Linked DNA regions of Elephas maximus indicus. The protein of the gene in region 2 binds, or shares a complex with, the protein of the main gene of each other region. Links are inferred from orthologs where the notes say so. Each region holds a gene or a part of one and is shown on either strand. Other genes may lie near its edges.

The links. The genes of interacting proteins can lie anywhere in the genome.
Region 1: MED13 (region 2) and MED21 share a complex: the UniProt entries of both Homo sapiens proteins name them as parts of the mediator complex. The link is inferred for Elephas maximus indicus from reciprocal best matches to the Homo sapiens genes MED13 and MED21.

The regions. Positions count from the first base shown.
Region 1 is NC_064822.1:85,864,276-85,872,226, reverse strand, and holds the start of MED21 (mediator of RNA polymerase II transcription subunit 21), read right to left. Parts: upstream 3,015-7,951; 5' UTR 2,982-3,014; coding exon 2,940-2,981; intron 1-2,939. UniProt on the Homo sapiens protein: Component of the Mediator complex, a coactivator involved in the regulated transcription of nearly all RNA polymerase II-dependent genes.
Region 2 is NC_064837.1:34,008,786-34,015,788, reverse strand, and holds the start of MED13 (mediator of RNA polymerase II transcription subunit 13), read left to right. Parts: upstream 1-3,999; 5' UTR 4,000-4,113; coding exon 4,114-4,179; intron 4,180-6,042; coding exon 6,043-6,277; intron 6,278-7,003. UniProt on the Homo sapiens protein: Component of the Mediator complex, a coactivator involved in the regulated transcription of nearly all RNA polymerase II-dependent genes.

The DNA of each region.
Region 1 (7,951 bases), on a different chromosome or scaffold from region 2:
ATTAAGCTCTAAGCATAAAAGACAAAAGATATTTTTTAGATAATGCTATAAGAAAATACATTCATGATGTTGGGGTAACAAAGAATTTCTTAAGACACAAAAAAGCCTAACCAACAAAGAAAAATACTGATAAATTTTACTACATTCATATTAATAATTTCTATTTATAAAAACATCATAAACAGGCCATAACAGACTAAGAAAAATGGGCAAAAGATTTGAAAGGCACTTGAAGAAAGAGGAGCTCCTCCAGTGGCCAGTAATCCCAGGAAAAGGTACTCACAGCGACCTTAGTCATCAAGGAAACGCAAATTTAAAACACAAGGTACTTTTATGCATCCATCAGAAAGACTAAAATGAAGAACACTGACAATACCAAATGTTGATAAAGATATGGAGTAAAAGAAACTTAACTGCTTGCCGTGCACACTTGTGTACCAGGAGACATCTAGGCATCAACATTCACAGGAGCATTGTTCCTAATTTCTATAAACTAGACACAATCCAAATGCTCAAGAAGGCGGTGGGGGGGGGGGCATGGAATCATAAACTAGATAGTAGACAAGTGTCAACTTTGTTGAAGGGAAGGACAACATACAATATAGAGGAAGTCAGCACAACATGACCAAAGCAAAGGCACAGAAGTTTCCTAGACACATCCAAACACCTTGAGGGACCAAGTTGCTGGGGTTGGGGACCACAGTCTCAGGGGACATCTTGGCCAATTTGCAAAACATAATTCATAAAGAAAATGCCCTACATCACTTTGGTGGGTAGCATCAGGGGTCTTAAAATTTTGCGAGCAGCCATCTGAGATACATCTGTTGGTCCCATTTCGTGAAAACCAAAGACAAAGGAAAATATTAGCCCAAAGGACTAAAGGACCACATGACCCAGAGCTCCAACAGTCTGAGCCCAGAAGAACTAGACAGTGCCCGGTTACCACCACTGACCACCCTGACAGGGATCACAACTGAGAGTCCCAAACAGAATGGGAGAAAAAATTAAAATATAATTGAAATGCATAAAAAAGTCCAGAGTTACTGGTTTGACAGAACTGGAGGAACCCCCAAGACTATGGCTCCCAGATACTCTGCTCAGAACTGAAACCATTCCCAAAGCCCACTTTTCAGACAAAGATTAGATAGGCCTATAAAACAAACAATAACATACACGAGGAACGTGCTCCTTAGTTCAATCAAATATTCGAGACCAAATGGGCAACCCCTGCCCAAAAGCAAGAAGAAAAGGCAGAAAGGGACAGGAACTGAAGGGATGGACACAGGGAACCCGAGGTGGAAAAGGGGAGTGTGCTGTCACATTGTGGGATTCCAACCAATGACACAAAACAATATGTGTATAAATTTTTGAATGAGAAATGAACTTGAGCTGTAAACTTCCACCTAAAGCAAAATAAAATTAAAAAAAAAAAATTGTAACAAAAATGGAACAACCAGAATGGAAATAATGAGAATGCTCACGCATTGTGAAAAAAGTAACCAATGTCACTGAACAATCGGTGTAGAAATTGTTGAATGGGAACCTGAAACTGCTGTGTAAACCTTCACTGAAACACAACAAAATATTAAAAAAAAAAAAAAAAAAGCAGTGGCAATTACAGCATGTTAATAAAATGAAATACTTTAAAGCTATGAAAATGAATGCCACATTATTACGCACACAAAATGTTGGGTGAAAGAAGCCAATCACAAAAGAATACATTTATATATATATACAATTCAAAAAAAAATTAAACTGTTATTTAGGCATGCACGCATAAATGATAAAACAACAAAGAAAAGCAAGTAGATTATCACAAAAGTCAGGGTAGTACTGAGATCAAGAGAGGGAGAAAGCATTTCTGGGATGTTGGTAATGATGTATTTCTTCACCTCATTAATGTTTCACAGGTGTTCACTTTGTAACTGTTCATTAAACTTTACACCCACACTTTTCTGCAAGAATGTTATTTCACCATCAAAAGATGCATTCGTCATTGGCAATGGGCCAATGGCCTTCTTCTACTCCAGAAGGGTTATTTATGACTGATTTTTCCTTTTCCAAGCGTTCCTATTTTATTTATGAAAAACCTTCAAACAGGTGAATCTTAAATAGACCTCAAAGGTTCATTACATATCGCTACTGTGATATGTGTAACTCTATATTTATAGCTGTGAAAAATACCTTGAAGTTCATACGTACATCTCATTTTCTTTTTTTTAAATTGGTAATGCACCCAGCCTTCACTTAAAATACAATGCTGAACGTTCATACTGGCTCCATCTTCTCACCCCCCCGTTCGATTAACTACCTATTTTTTTTTTTTAATCTATGATGAGGAGTGGACAAGAGATAGAACAAGACCTTTGGCGTTTAGAAAAGAACTAGAAAAAACACAAACGACTTCACCATCACTCCCAACCCCTGTCACGCCCCCTTCCCCGACTCCAACCTAAAAGTTACTGCAGAAATCCTTTCGGCTAACTTTTAATTAAAGATCCAATCATCAACCGTGGGGGCTCGCCTCGAGTGGTTAGAACTGATCAGTACAAAACGAACAAAATTCTGCTTCTCCCCTTCCCCACCCCCAAAAGAAGACAGCCGATAACCACCACTAACAAGAAAATAAAAATCTTCTCAACGAGAACATGACAGGACTGTGAAACCTAAGACTCAGGCTGCAGTGCAGGAGAAAGGAGAGAGCGTCCACTTCTCCTTAATCTCCAGCAAAAGAAAGGCTCTCGCATCTCTCCGCACTGCCCGACGGGCGGCCTCAGACCTCCCAGGGTTCCCGACGGGGCTTCCCACCGCCCCGAGCGCTTTCTGCTCAGACCTAACTCAGTCCGCTCTCTGCTTCCGCGCTTTGTCTTTCAGGACCCCTGTCTTCTCTTGGTTTACCCCAAAAAAGAGACAGAGACTAATCGAATGAAATTCCTCACCGAGTTCACGGCGTCCTGAAGCTGCGTTAGCCGGTCCGCCATGTTTGTCCCTCACGCAAAGGGACGCTTAAGCAGCTGCTCGTGCGCGATTGGGCTGCTCGAGGACTCGTCGTGGCCAATCACATGGCTGCGTTCTTGGAAGGGGTGGGATCGGGAAGAATTTGCGGGACGAGGAAGAGGAGGAGGATCTGAGACTTAGCTAATGACTGTTTAGTCTGGCTGGTACTGGAGGGAGAGTCTGACTGGAAATATTTTGAGTAACTCGGAGACAGTCCAGGGTTCAATCGTTCTCGTATTAAGTACGTCGTAGGTGTTAAACACTTTACAGAGATTGTTGGATTCTGCGGTTTTTTAGTGATTTTTCCCCCATGTATTCATTTTTTAACATCACCTTGAATGCTTATTTTTATGTTGTCTTTGCTTTCCAAATGGACCACAAAGCATATACGCTGCAAGAAACTCAAGAATACTTAACCCGTTGCCGTGGAGTTGATTCTGACTCATAGCGACACTATAGGACAGAGTACAACTGCCCCATACGGTTTCCAAGGAGCGCCTGGTGGATTGGAGCTGCCAACCTTTTGGTTAGCAGCCGTAGCTCTTAACCACTACGCTACCAGTGTTTCTCAAGAATACTTGGGGGTCAATAATAATAAAACCATTGCAGTTGAGTGTACTCCGACCCATGGCAGCCCCTTGTGGTACAGAGTAGAACCGCTCCATGGGGTTTTTTTGGGAGATAGGATATGATTCTAAACTCAACAAATCCAAATTAAAATTCACTAGGCAATCAGGAAGGACTGGTTTAGGGTGCCTCCTCTCTTGCTTTTGGCCATGGAGGGGGTTACCAAAGTGGAAATTGGGTGCATGCTGTTAGGGAGCTTTAATTGTGTATAGATGTGCTTGGGAGGCTGACACAGGTGAAATGGAAAGTGTCCAAAACAATTAAGTACTGTATTTACTCTGTTAGAAGAGTGTGCGAAGGCAAGTCACTGCTGGCAAGGTGAGAAGGAGGAAGAAAGCATTTGGAGCTAAGAGGTATGGTGTGAGCACGGGGAACTAATAAGCTTTTCTTGTTTGTGTGACAGTGAATAAATGGATGAGGAGCAGGGGAGGGTTGGTGGAGAGGAGAATAGACGTTTCACAGTGTCTAGTAGGAAGGAGGAGTCCCTGGGTAGCCCAAACTGTTTGTGCTGGATGCCTAACCTAACAGCTTGAACCTCTCCAGTGGCACTGTGGACAAAAGGCCTAGCTATCTGCTTGCATAAAGATTGCAACCAAACAAACCCTATAGAACAGTTTAACAAATGGGGTCACCATAAGGCAGAATTGACTCAATGGCAATGGGTTTGAATTTTAGTTGGAAAAGCACAAGGGTCTTGTATTTATCCAAGAGTGAGCTGAGTTGGGCCTAGACTAGGATGTTGACCCTCGTAAAAGAAGAAAGAAAGGCTAAAACGTATTTTTAAAGGAAAAGTTAATATAGACTGATGACTGGTTGGATATAGGTGAATGAATGAGAGAGCCCACTAAAGGAGAATAGAAAGTTTTGCAGCCCCATTGATGAGAACTCGGGTGCCTAGGGTAGAGGAGCTACTTCAGAATAACCCATATTCTTTGAAGGCTTAGAACCATAACCTCATGGAACAACTCAGTTAATTGGTGTAACAGAGTTCACAAAAATCATGATCTGCACCCTAGTGAGGTGAGTAGCATCTGGGGACTTAAAAGCCTGCAAGTGGCCATCTAAGATATAACTGCAGTCTCTGCTCACCAGGAGCAGAATAGTAAGGCAACCAAAAGCTCAGAGAGGAAACAAGTCTACATAAGCCACAACCTCATCTAACTAGAGACCAGAAGAACTAGATGGTGCTGGGCTACCACCACTGACCTGATCAGGGTTATAATACTTGGTCCTGGATAGAATGGGAGAAAAAATGGAGCAGAACTCAAATTCTTATTAAAACAAAAAAGTCAGACCTACTAAAACAGCAGAGGGCTCCTTGAGACTATTGCCCTGAGACATTCTTTAAACCTAGAACTGAGCCTATTCTGAGATCACCTTTTAGCAAAATAGCAGAGTGGCACACAAAATACAGAGTACCAGAAATGTATAAACAGAAGACAATTAGAGCATGTTCTCTTTAGATATATTGTAGTAAATGTAACTAATGTCACTGAACAATGTGTGGAAATTATCAAATGGAAACCTAACTTGCTGCATAAACTTTGACCAAAAACTCAAAAAAAAATTATTAAAAAAAAAACTATATTATGATACAGCTTCTGTCCTGTTGTAGGACAACATGTCCTGCTCAAACACACCATAACTGTATGACAATGCTCCACATTTGTGTAGCGCTCACAGGTTGCACTCAATTTCTAGGTAGCCAGGAGGCCATTAGGAAAAGGGCACCAATAACTAATACAGATTGCTTCATAAACATTACATCCTTTCGATCAGAGCTTGAACACACACTAGCACATAAAAAGTGGCTATTATTCCTTACAAGAATCAGACAGCATACAACAGGAAAAGTTCAATCACGAACAATCACACCTCAAAAGCTGTCTGGGCAGAAATGACAACTCTTCCTTGCACACCCCACTTTGTGCCATGGATGAGGGGCTTAAATGGGACTGTACCTACTGCCAGTCTTTTGGCAGTGGACTGTAGGGTTGCTATGAGTCAGAATCGACTTTACAACAATGGGTTTTGGTGTTTTTTAAGCTTATGCTATGTGTGCTCCCCCTCACCCCACACATCTGTCAATTTGTTGTACTGTGGGGACTTGCATGTTGCTATGATGCTGGGAGCTATGCCACCAGCAGGGTCACCCATCGCGGACAGGTTTCAGCTGAACTTCCAGACTAAGACAGGAAGGAGGCCCCAGCAGTCTACTTCTGAAAAGAATTAGCCAGTGAAAGCCTTATGAATAGCAGCAGAACATTGTCTGATATAGTGCTAGAAGATGAACCCTCAGGTTGGAAGGCACTCAAAATACAAGTAGGGAACTGCCTCTTCAAAGTAGAGTCAACCTTAATGACATGGATGGAGTCAAGCTTTTGGGACCTTCATTTGCTGATGTGGCATGACTCAAAATGAGAAGAAACAGCTGCAAACATCTGTTAATAGTTGGAACCTGGAATGTATGAAGTATAATCTAGGAAATTTGAAAATCATCACAAATGAAATGGAGCACGTAAACATTGATATTATAGGCATTAGCGAACTGAAATGGACTAATATTGGACGTTTTGAATAGGACAGTCATATAGCCTACTATGCTGGGAACTTGAAGAGGAATAGCGTTGCAGTCATTATCAAAAACAACATTTCAACATCCAGGGAGCCACCATGGTGCTAAAGACAGAAGCACCATGCTGTCCCTACACAGCAAAGACCTGAAAAACTAAGTAAAACAGAGACAAACATCAATCCCAGAACCCTAAGCATCAAGTGAAGGAATAAAGAGCTGAACCATGCCCTGAATGAAATAAGAAACTGGCAGAGAACAAAGAGTGACGAGAGCTACACAGTGGAGGTCCCCTATCGCTAACGTGGCGCAAATTTGCCATCTTGGACCCCTGAACTACGAAGAATGGCAGACAGGGAGTACTGGAAGGCACGAGAAGCTCCCAGCAGGAGACAGAGCACCTGGTACCCAGCAATACATGCTTTCCCACTCCCCTCCCTTCTTCCCTCTGCTCTACCTCTGCTGCTTCCTGGCAGGCTGCAGTTGCTTGGCTGGGGAGATGCCGGCTTCTTGCTGCTTGTACTTGCCCTGCCCACACCAGCCAGCTCTTTCAGTGCCATTTTTTTGTTGCTGTTCTTGGTTTTGGGGGCTTCTTTTGCATTTTTTTCTCTCTCTCCTTTCCTTTCCTTTCTCCAGAACACATGGCTTTTGTGCCATTTCTGCTCCTTCTAAATGGGCTGTGCAACACCACTTGGACAAGGAACCCCTTCCCTGGTCCATGCCAACAAACTAGAGGGCTCCCTTGGGGCATTTTTTTTCTTTTCTTGGTTCCTTGTCTCTTTCTACCTCCCTTTTTTTCCATTCTCCTAGACATCTGGTGCCGTGTGCCATTTCTGCTCCTTCTTGATGAGCTGTTCAGTGCCTCTTGGCTAGAGATCCCCTTTCCTGGTGTGCACCACCACATCAGTGGGCTCCCTTGGGGTGTTTCTTTCTTTCTTTTTTCTCTTCTTGGTTTCTTGTCTCTCTCTACCTCCCTTACCCTTCTCCTGAACACCTGGTACTGTGTGCCATCTCTGCTCCTTCTTGATGGGCTGTGCAGTGCTGCTCAGCTGGGGACCCACTTCTGGTGGACTCCCTTGGGGCTTTTTTTTTTCTCAGTTTCTTGTCTCTCTCTACCTTCCTTCTTCTTCCTCCCAACCACCTGATGTTTTCTTTTTTTCTCTTGGTTTCTTGTCTCTCTCTATCATCATTCCTTTCCTTTCTCCTGACCACCTGGCCATGTGTGCCTTTCTCTCTCTCTTTTTTAAAATCTAGTTTCTTATCTCTCTCTCCCTTCCTTCCTTTCCTTTCTCCTGCCCACCTAGCTGTCTGTGCCATATCTGTCCCTTCTTGATGGGCTGTGCCACATTGCCTGGCTACGAAGCCAATGGCACACAGCTTCCCTGGGTCTGTGCCACTCCAACGGCAGGCTCCCTTAGCATTTTTTTTTGGCTTGTCTTTCTCCTCTTTCTCTTCTTTCCCACACCCACTTAGCTCCACACATCACATCCTCTCCCCTCTCTCCTGCCTATCTGCACCATGCACTGAGCATTACATCCCCGAGTAGCACAGGTACTGTCTCCTGAAACATGTCCTGCACCGCCCCCCACCCCTGCCCTGTCTCCCCCAGTATGTGCCACAAATGACCTATCCAAGCCCCTCCCCATTTGCTGGACCTGCCCTGCTGCACCATAGCTGAGCGACTGGCCCTGCCCTTTGGACAAGGTTGTGAGAAGTATTTTGCCTACAGATGAGCAAACAAGAAAGAACATCCAG
Region 2 (7,003 bases):
AGGCATGGCCTGGAGTTTTGACCCCTGGTGATCCAACTGTCCAAATGTCCAATCTAGCAAGATTATGAGTTCCTTGTATACCCTGCGCCTTGCCCATACATGACCTGACACATACTAGATGGTCAATAAATGTGTATACTAAACTGTATATATAGTATGACCTTATGTAGGAAAAATATGTATGGAGTAAAATCTGGGAGGGTATACATGAAACTCTTAAAGGGTAGTTAATTGTGAATTGTGATATTATGGGCAATTTTTTGCAACATACATTTTTAATTTTCATCTTTACACCTTTCTGTATCTTCCAAACTTTTGACAATGTGCATGTATTGTTTTCATTTATTTCTATTACTGTTTATACTACACAAAATGTCATGTTAACAGAATGTAGGTGGTTATATCTGAATTGGGTTTAATAAGATTTAGTTGCTTCAAAGGGCTTTATAAGAATTCATTTTATCCTTCAAATCTGATTTCAAATGCTTCCTACTTCATGATGCCTTCTCTGACTTTGGTGCTCCTTCTCCGAAGCTTCTATTATGCCAAAGTTGATACATACTGTACGCCGTCTGTGTACCAATGTTGCTGTCTGCCCCTCCTCCCCTGATGTTCCCAGTCCCCTCACAGATGGGGTCCCCTCGCCTCCAATTTTCTTCTCCATTCTCATTCTCTATTTCTCCTCTCTTTCTCTTCTGTTTCTTTCCATGATCTTCCTCAGATTTTTCCTTTGAGTCTTCTTCCCTTCTTGTCTCCTATCTCTCCCTTCTTTTTGAGAAGACTGACTTTCAAATGAAACGTCAATCAAATGTTACTTTCCATCAGGGAGTTTTCAGGCTGATTCTACTGGAGTCCTGAGGAAGATGCTCAGAGTTGGGAGTGGACACAATGATGAGGGAGACTTCTAAGGAGGATGGATACTTTTGGTTGAAATAAGGGATTGAGGACTACATTTCAGAATGACAAAAGCAATGGGAACAAAGGTTCGAGGATTCCCTCAGGGAAAAGGGTAGAAGAGAGCTGAGCAGAGGGCCCCTTACCTGATTGGGCCTGAGGGTTGTTATCTCCTAGTGTTGGCACTCAGTTAGAAAGAATGCTGACCTCAGTTGATTTGAGCTCCTGGATTGAATTAGTCCTGCTTGTGTAATTGACTTTGATATGTGGCCTTTGGATCTGAATTGGGTTTAATAAGATTTAGTTGCTTCAAAGGGCTTTATAAGAATTCATTTTATCCTTCAAATCTGATTTCAAATGCTTCCTACTTCATGATGCCTTCTCTGACTTTGGTGCTCCTTCTCCAAAGCTTCTATTATGCCAAAGTTGATACATACTTCATTCAAGCAATTATCTTCATCGTATTTTATCGTAGTCTGTGGGAAATTGTTCCTTTATTTTCTCACCTTAGGAATCTTGAAGGACAGGAAGGTATTTCACTCATATTTGTATCTGAGGCCTAGCACACACCAGGAACATACTCACTTGAGCCAGCAGTACTCAATAACAATTTAAAAAATATATTAACAGCTAAAATTTAGTAAGCACTAGGATACGCACTATACCTACATTGTTTCATTCACCAGACACTTTAGGCAGAAAGTACTTTTATTTTGCAATGAGAAAACTGAGCATAAGAGAATTTTTTTTTTTTTAGTTTTTATTGGGCTTTAAGTGGGAGCTAACAAATCAAGTCAGTCTCTTACACAAAAACTTATATACACCTTGCTACATACTCCCAAATGCTCTCCCACTAATGAGACAGCCCGTTCCCTCCCTCCACTCTCTCTTTTCATGTCCATTTCACCACCTTCTAACCCTTCTACCCTCTCATCTCCCCTCCAGGCAGGAGATGCCAACATAGTCTCAAGTGTCCACCTGATCCAAGAAGCTCACTCCTCGCCAGTATCCCTCTCCATCCCATTGTCAGAGAAATTTTTTTGATCTAAGGTTGAATTCAACCCAAGGTCAACTAGTAAGTGGCTGAATTCTTTTCTATATGCTTTTTCTGGATCCAAGATCTGGGCTCTTAACCACTATGGATGGACACATGGATGGATGAAGGAATGCTTTTTACTCTGTGGCTGAAGAAGAGACATGGTAGAGCTCATCATTTATTTTATAGAGACAATTATGATTAGTTCTAACTTTTACTTTTTCTAACTTCTGAATCATCTCTTTTTTTCTTCTTCCTTCCTTCCTTTCTTGTAATTCTGTATCTAAAACTCTCAGGAAAAATGTTTTGAGCACTTACGTTGGAGCGTAATCCAGACAAGAACCAAGTGTTCTGTGGGGAAGGGAACTAACATTGTATTTGGTTTCTACCTCTTGCTATTCATTCATTTCTAAATTTATAAATATCAAGCAGCTACTGGGCGCTTATGGTAAGACCATGTGTGCACAGAAGAACTACTCCATAGGATTTGGAAGCAGATCGCCAGGCCTGTCTTCCGGGGCACCTCTGGGTGGGTTTCAATCACCAGCCTTTCAGCTAGACTGTATAACCACTTGTGCCCAGGTGTCACCATGAGTCGGAATCATCTTGATGCAACTAACAACTGGGTGCTAGAAACCTTTTAGGCAGTAGGGGTATAATGGTGAACAAAACAAAGTCCTGGCTCTCAGGGAGATTACACTCTTAAGTGGACACTTCACATATACTAGTTCACTTGCTCCTCACAATGACTGCATAAGGTAATGATGACAACAATAGTGGGTAACTCTTAACAATGTTTATCTGTACCAGGCACTACCTACATGCTTTATATGTATAATCACAAAACCCTGTGAGCCAGGGGTGGTGTTTTCTCCATTTCAGAAATGAGGGAATTGAAGCACTAGGAGGTTAAGTGACTTGTTGAAGTTTTGAACCAGGGTGTGTGACTCTAATTCCCAGGCTACTAACCACAATATGTTTCGTTTATGTTTTCTATCTTCATATCACACAACTTTCACGTGGCTAAATTGTATCTCCATCCAGATCTGTGTGACTCCGAAGCCCACGGGTTTCCGCTGCATCCCAGAGGCCTCGTGGAATAAATGAGAAAGAATGCCTTGGAATTTTTGCAACACTTTCTCTTCCAAAGAATTCAAACTGATTTCCACATAATTCTCATAGATTTGTGCTGTGAACCTCCTTGTACTGTAAATTCCCGCACAAGGAGAAAGATAAACCCGAGTCCCGGGTCATTTGACACTAGCCGGAGCACCCAGCAGATGGCGCTATCTTAGTAGCCACCAGCTGGCTGCCCCATCCCCGGGGCTCCCCACCTCCGCGGAAAGCTTCCCAGCCCTCCCTCACTCCCTTCTCTCTCCCCCTCCCCACGGAGCCCGCGTCCACGTGACCTTAAGACGGCCAATAGGCGAGCAGAGAGGGCGAGCTGGTCCCTGTGGCCGCCATTAAAGCGAAGGGAAAACCCGTGAATTCGGATTAAAGGGGGAAAAACACCGCCCGCTGGGCCCACAAAATGGGGGAGGCTACTGCGTCCAGGCTGTGAGGCCGCAGGAGAGCAGACGTTAGGTCGGCCCGGCCCAGGGACGACACGAAGACAGCCGGAGAATGGTCTGAGCCCCAGACGCCGCCACCACCTCCGCCACTGAGGAGACTCTGGGCTTAAGGACATCGCCGCTGCCGGGCCGGGGGCCTGGGCTTCCCTCCCGGTTCTCGCCCTTCCAGCTCCTCTGCGGCCGCCTCCCCGCCCGAGGGAATCGTCTGGGGCTTGGGCTCGACCGTCTCGGACTCGATTTCAATTATTTATTGTGTAATTTATTATTTTTCTGGTGGAAGGGGCATACATCTCCTCTGTCCCCCAGAGAGGGGCAAGCGCCTGCGGGCTCCGCGGCAGCCGCAGACCGGCCCGCGGAGCGAGCGCTGCGCGGCCCTCCCGCCTCCGGTCCTCGGCCCCGGGCGGCTGGGTGCCGGCCGGGCGGCGGGGGCTGCTCGCGGCGGCGGGGGGGTGGGTGGGGAGGGCGGGCGGCCCGGCGGCCTCCTCTTCCATCGCCCCCCCCAGCCGCCACCCCCCCCGCCCTGCCCGGTGTCTGTGTTTCTCTCTCTGGTCGGAGGCGGCGGTAATGGCGGATGGTGGGTTGTGGCGCCGGCGGCGGCTGCTGTGAGGGACGATGAGTTCCTCCTTCGTGCCGAACGGGGCCAGCCTGGAAGATTGTCACTGTAACCTTTTCTGCCTGGTGAGTGCCCGGGCCGCGGGCGGGGACGGCGGCGAGTGGGGCGCTGAGGGAGGGGCCGCGAGGTGCGCCCTTGGGCCGTGGGGGAGGGGGTCCGGGTCTGATCCCGGCGCCCGAGTCCCAGGCCAGGCCCAGTGGAGCCGGCGCGGCCGCGAGGCCCCGCACCCAGCCCCGGGAGACGGCGTCCGCTCGGTCGCCGTCCTGAGCTCTCGGGAGTGGGGAGTTTGTTTCTTGTCTTGTTTCTGACTCCCCCCCCCCCCCCCGCATCGTAGTCTTCTCTTCAACTTGGGCACCTCATCTGCCGGGACACTGACTTAATTAACATTTCCGTCTGCATTTTTTGCCTAACTATTGCTTTTCTCTTTTTTGATCCTGTATCCCTCTTCACACTTTCTATTATTGCCTGTTCTCCCACTGTCTTTATACTTCGCTCTGGTAATTTGGTTTCTCCTAATAAACAGGACCCCAGAGTTTATGCACTGACTCCCCCCCCCCCCCATTTTACATTTTTTCTACGCGTCAGACTAACAGTTTGACTTCTGGGTGACTTCACATCTTTGTGTAAAAACCAGTAGATGCCATTTCATATGTTTTCTTCCTAAACTTTGAAAAGTTTGCCATTTTGACAATTTCTAGCCATCTTGCTATTATTAGAACATTATGCTTGTGTGAGAGTGGAGGGGGCTAATGGAGGAGGTGCTATGGTTTTGCTCTGTTTCTATATTGGTCTGTTTTGCTTGCCTTTTCAGAATGCTTTGAGCAGGCTGCTCCATGTTTTATTGAAATGGAAAGTCTGGGGAAGCTATACGGAGAAATGACAATCGTGTTGATTGGTCCAGGCCTGGGAACTTAGAACATATAAGACTTCCCAAAGTACCAACTGTTGCAAATACGTAGTTCAGAAATGGGCAATAGCTTAATTTGGTGACAAAGTTTGGGTGACTTTTTTCATTTTCCTCTGTGCTATGGGAAATATTAAGAGTATATGATAGGTAAATGAGTTGAGTGGGCGGAGCACAACTAATTGGCAAGTGCAAACTGCCAGTCATGTATCAGCAGTTTCATTTTTGGCACCTTATGCTTTGCCCCTTTAAGTGAGGTTGAAGAATTAATGGATTCCCTCTGTCGAATCTCTTTCACAGTGCTATTGAGATCTGTAATGCCTTCCCCCCTGTAAATTATGTTGGTTTTCTTGTATAATGTCCATTAATCAGCATCTTTGCATGTAAAAAGACATACACCAGGTTTTGAATTTCTGTGCTCTCCAACTCAGTCTATTTTTGGTACTTTTAGGATCAAGTTCTTTGAAGATAGTCTAGCACAAATCTGAGATTTCTTTGTGGGCAGCTATGTGATTTTTCCTAAAGTGGATGTGGCAAGAATTAACTAGAATTTTTACAGGAAGTATTCAGATATCTTTTTATTAGAGCTATGACTTCTACAAACATGGAATGATAAATTTTTAAAAATTAATTTTTAGTTAAAAGTTTGACACCAGGGGACAAACAGGACCACTTAGAGTAGAATTTAGGACAGAGAAAAAAATGTTTACTCAGTCAGTGTGCAGTGTTAAAGTACATGTTTATATTTAACATTCTTTTATTTCTATTTGGGGCACATTATATTTATTGACTTGCTAATTTGTGACATGTCAGTGTTAATATTTTAACTGTTTTTGTTCTTTTTAAATTCTTGGTTATTATCAGATGTATAAAGCTTTTTTACTTTTTTTTGGTTTTAAGCCACTTTGAATATTTTAAGCATATATTGAAAAATTGCAGTGTCTTAATGAAAAAGGGACTTTTATGGTGAATAGTTTTAACTTTGAATGCACAGTAATAAAAAGTCATGCTTTCTTTTCTTCAGGCTGACTTGACCGGAATTAAATGGAAAAGATACGTATGGCAAGGCCCAACTTCTGCCCCTATTCTGTTTCCGGTAACTGAGGAAGACCCCATTTTGAGCAGTTTTAGTCGATGCCTTAAGGCAGATGTACTTGGTGTTTGGCGGCGAGATCAAAGACCTGGAAGAAGAGAATTATGGATATTTTGGTGGGGTGAAGACCCTAACTTTGCTGACCTTATTCACCATGACTTATCAGGTGAAAGCAGCTTATCACTTTCAACTAATTATGTAGTAAGATTGTATACTTTCCCCAAAATAACATTTGTATTACAAATTAGGATTTTTTTTTTTTGATGGAACATTGTTAGATATGAAGCCAGATAAAAATTAAGCCCTGTGTTTTATTACACCATGGTTATTTAAAATATGCTATCCATGTGTGTTATGGCAGGTTTTTTCCTTCTACCCACGTTGCTCTGAATTTCTCACAGGCAGTTAGGCTTCAGGAAAACATGCTATATTAACTTAAGAAAAATGGAATTTGGGGGCATGAAGTTCTCAACAAAGTCATATAATACCTTTGAAGCCAAGTGTACCACACCTGGGAGTCAATTCTGCCACTGCTCTGTACTGCATGAATAGCCAGACAATTATAGGAATATCTAGAAGTGGTGTGTTGTGAATTTTTCTTGTTTTTGACAGCATATAGTTATTTTGTTATTGTTTTATTAACACATGAAGGCATATGTTAATTTTTTTTATTCTTGGAGAGTGATTATTTTATCCGAGGTACTGTTCCATCAAAAACTATCGTTAATATAACGAGACAGGTACATCTTGTTTAGCTTTTACAGGATGTGGTGTCATAATCTGAAAGGTTATGCAGAAGTAATTTTATTGTGAGCAAATCAATATGATTACTTCCACCTTATTCTCATAACCTTTAGGACCAAACGTTACTTTAGAAAGAGGCTATAGACCT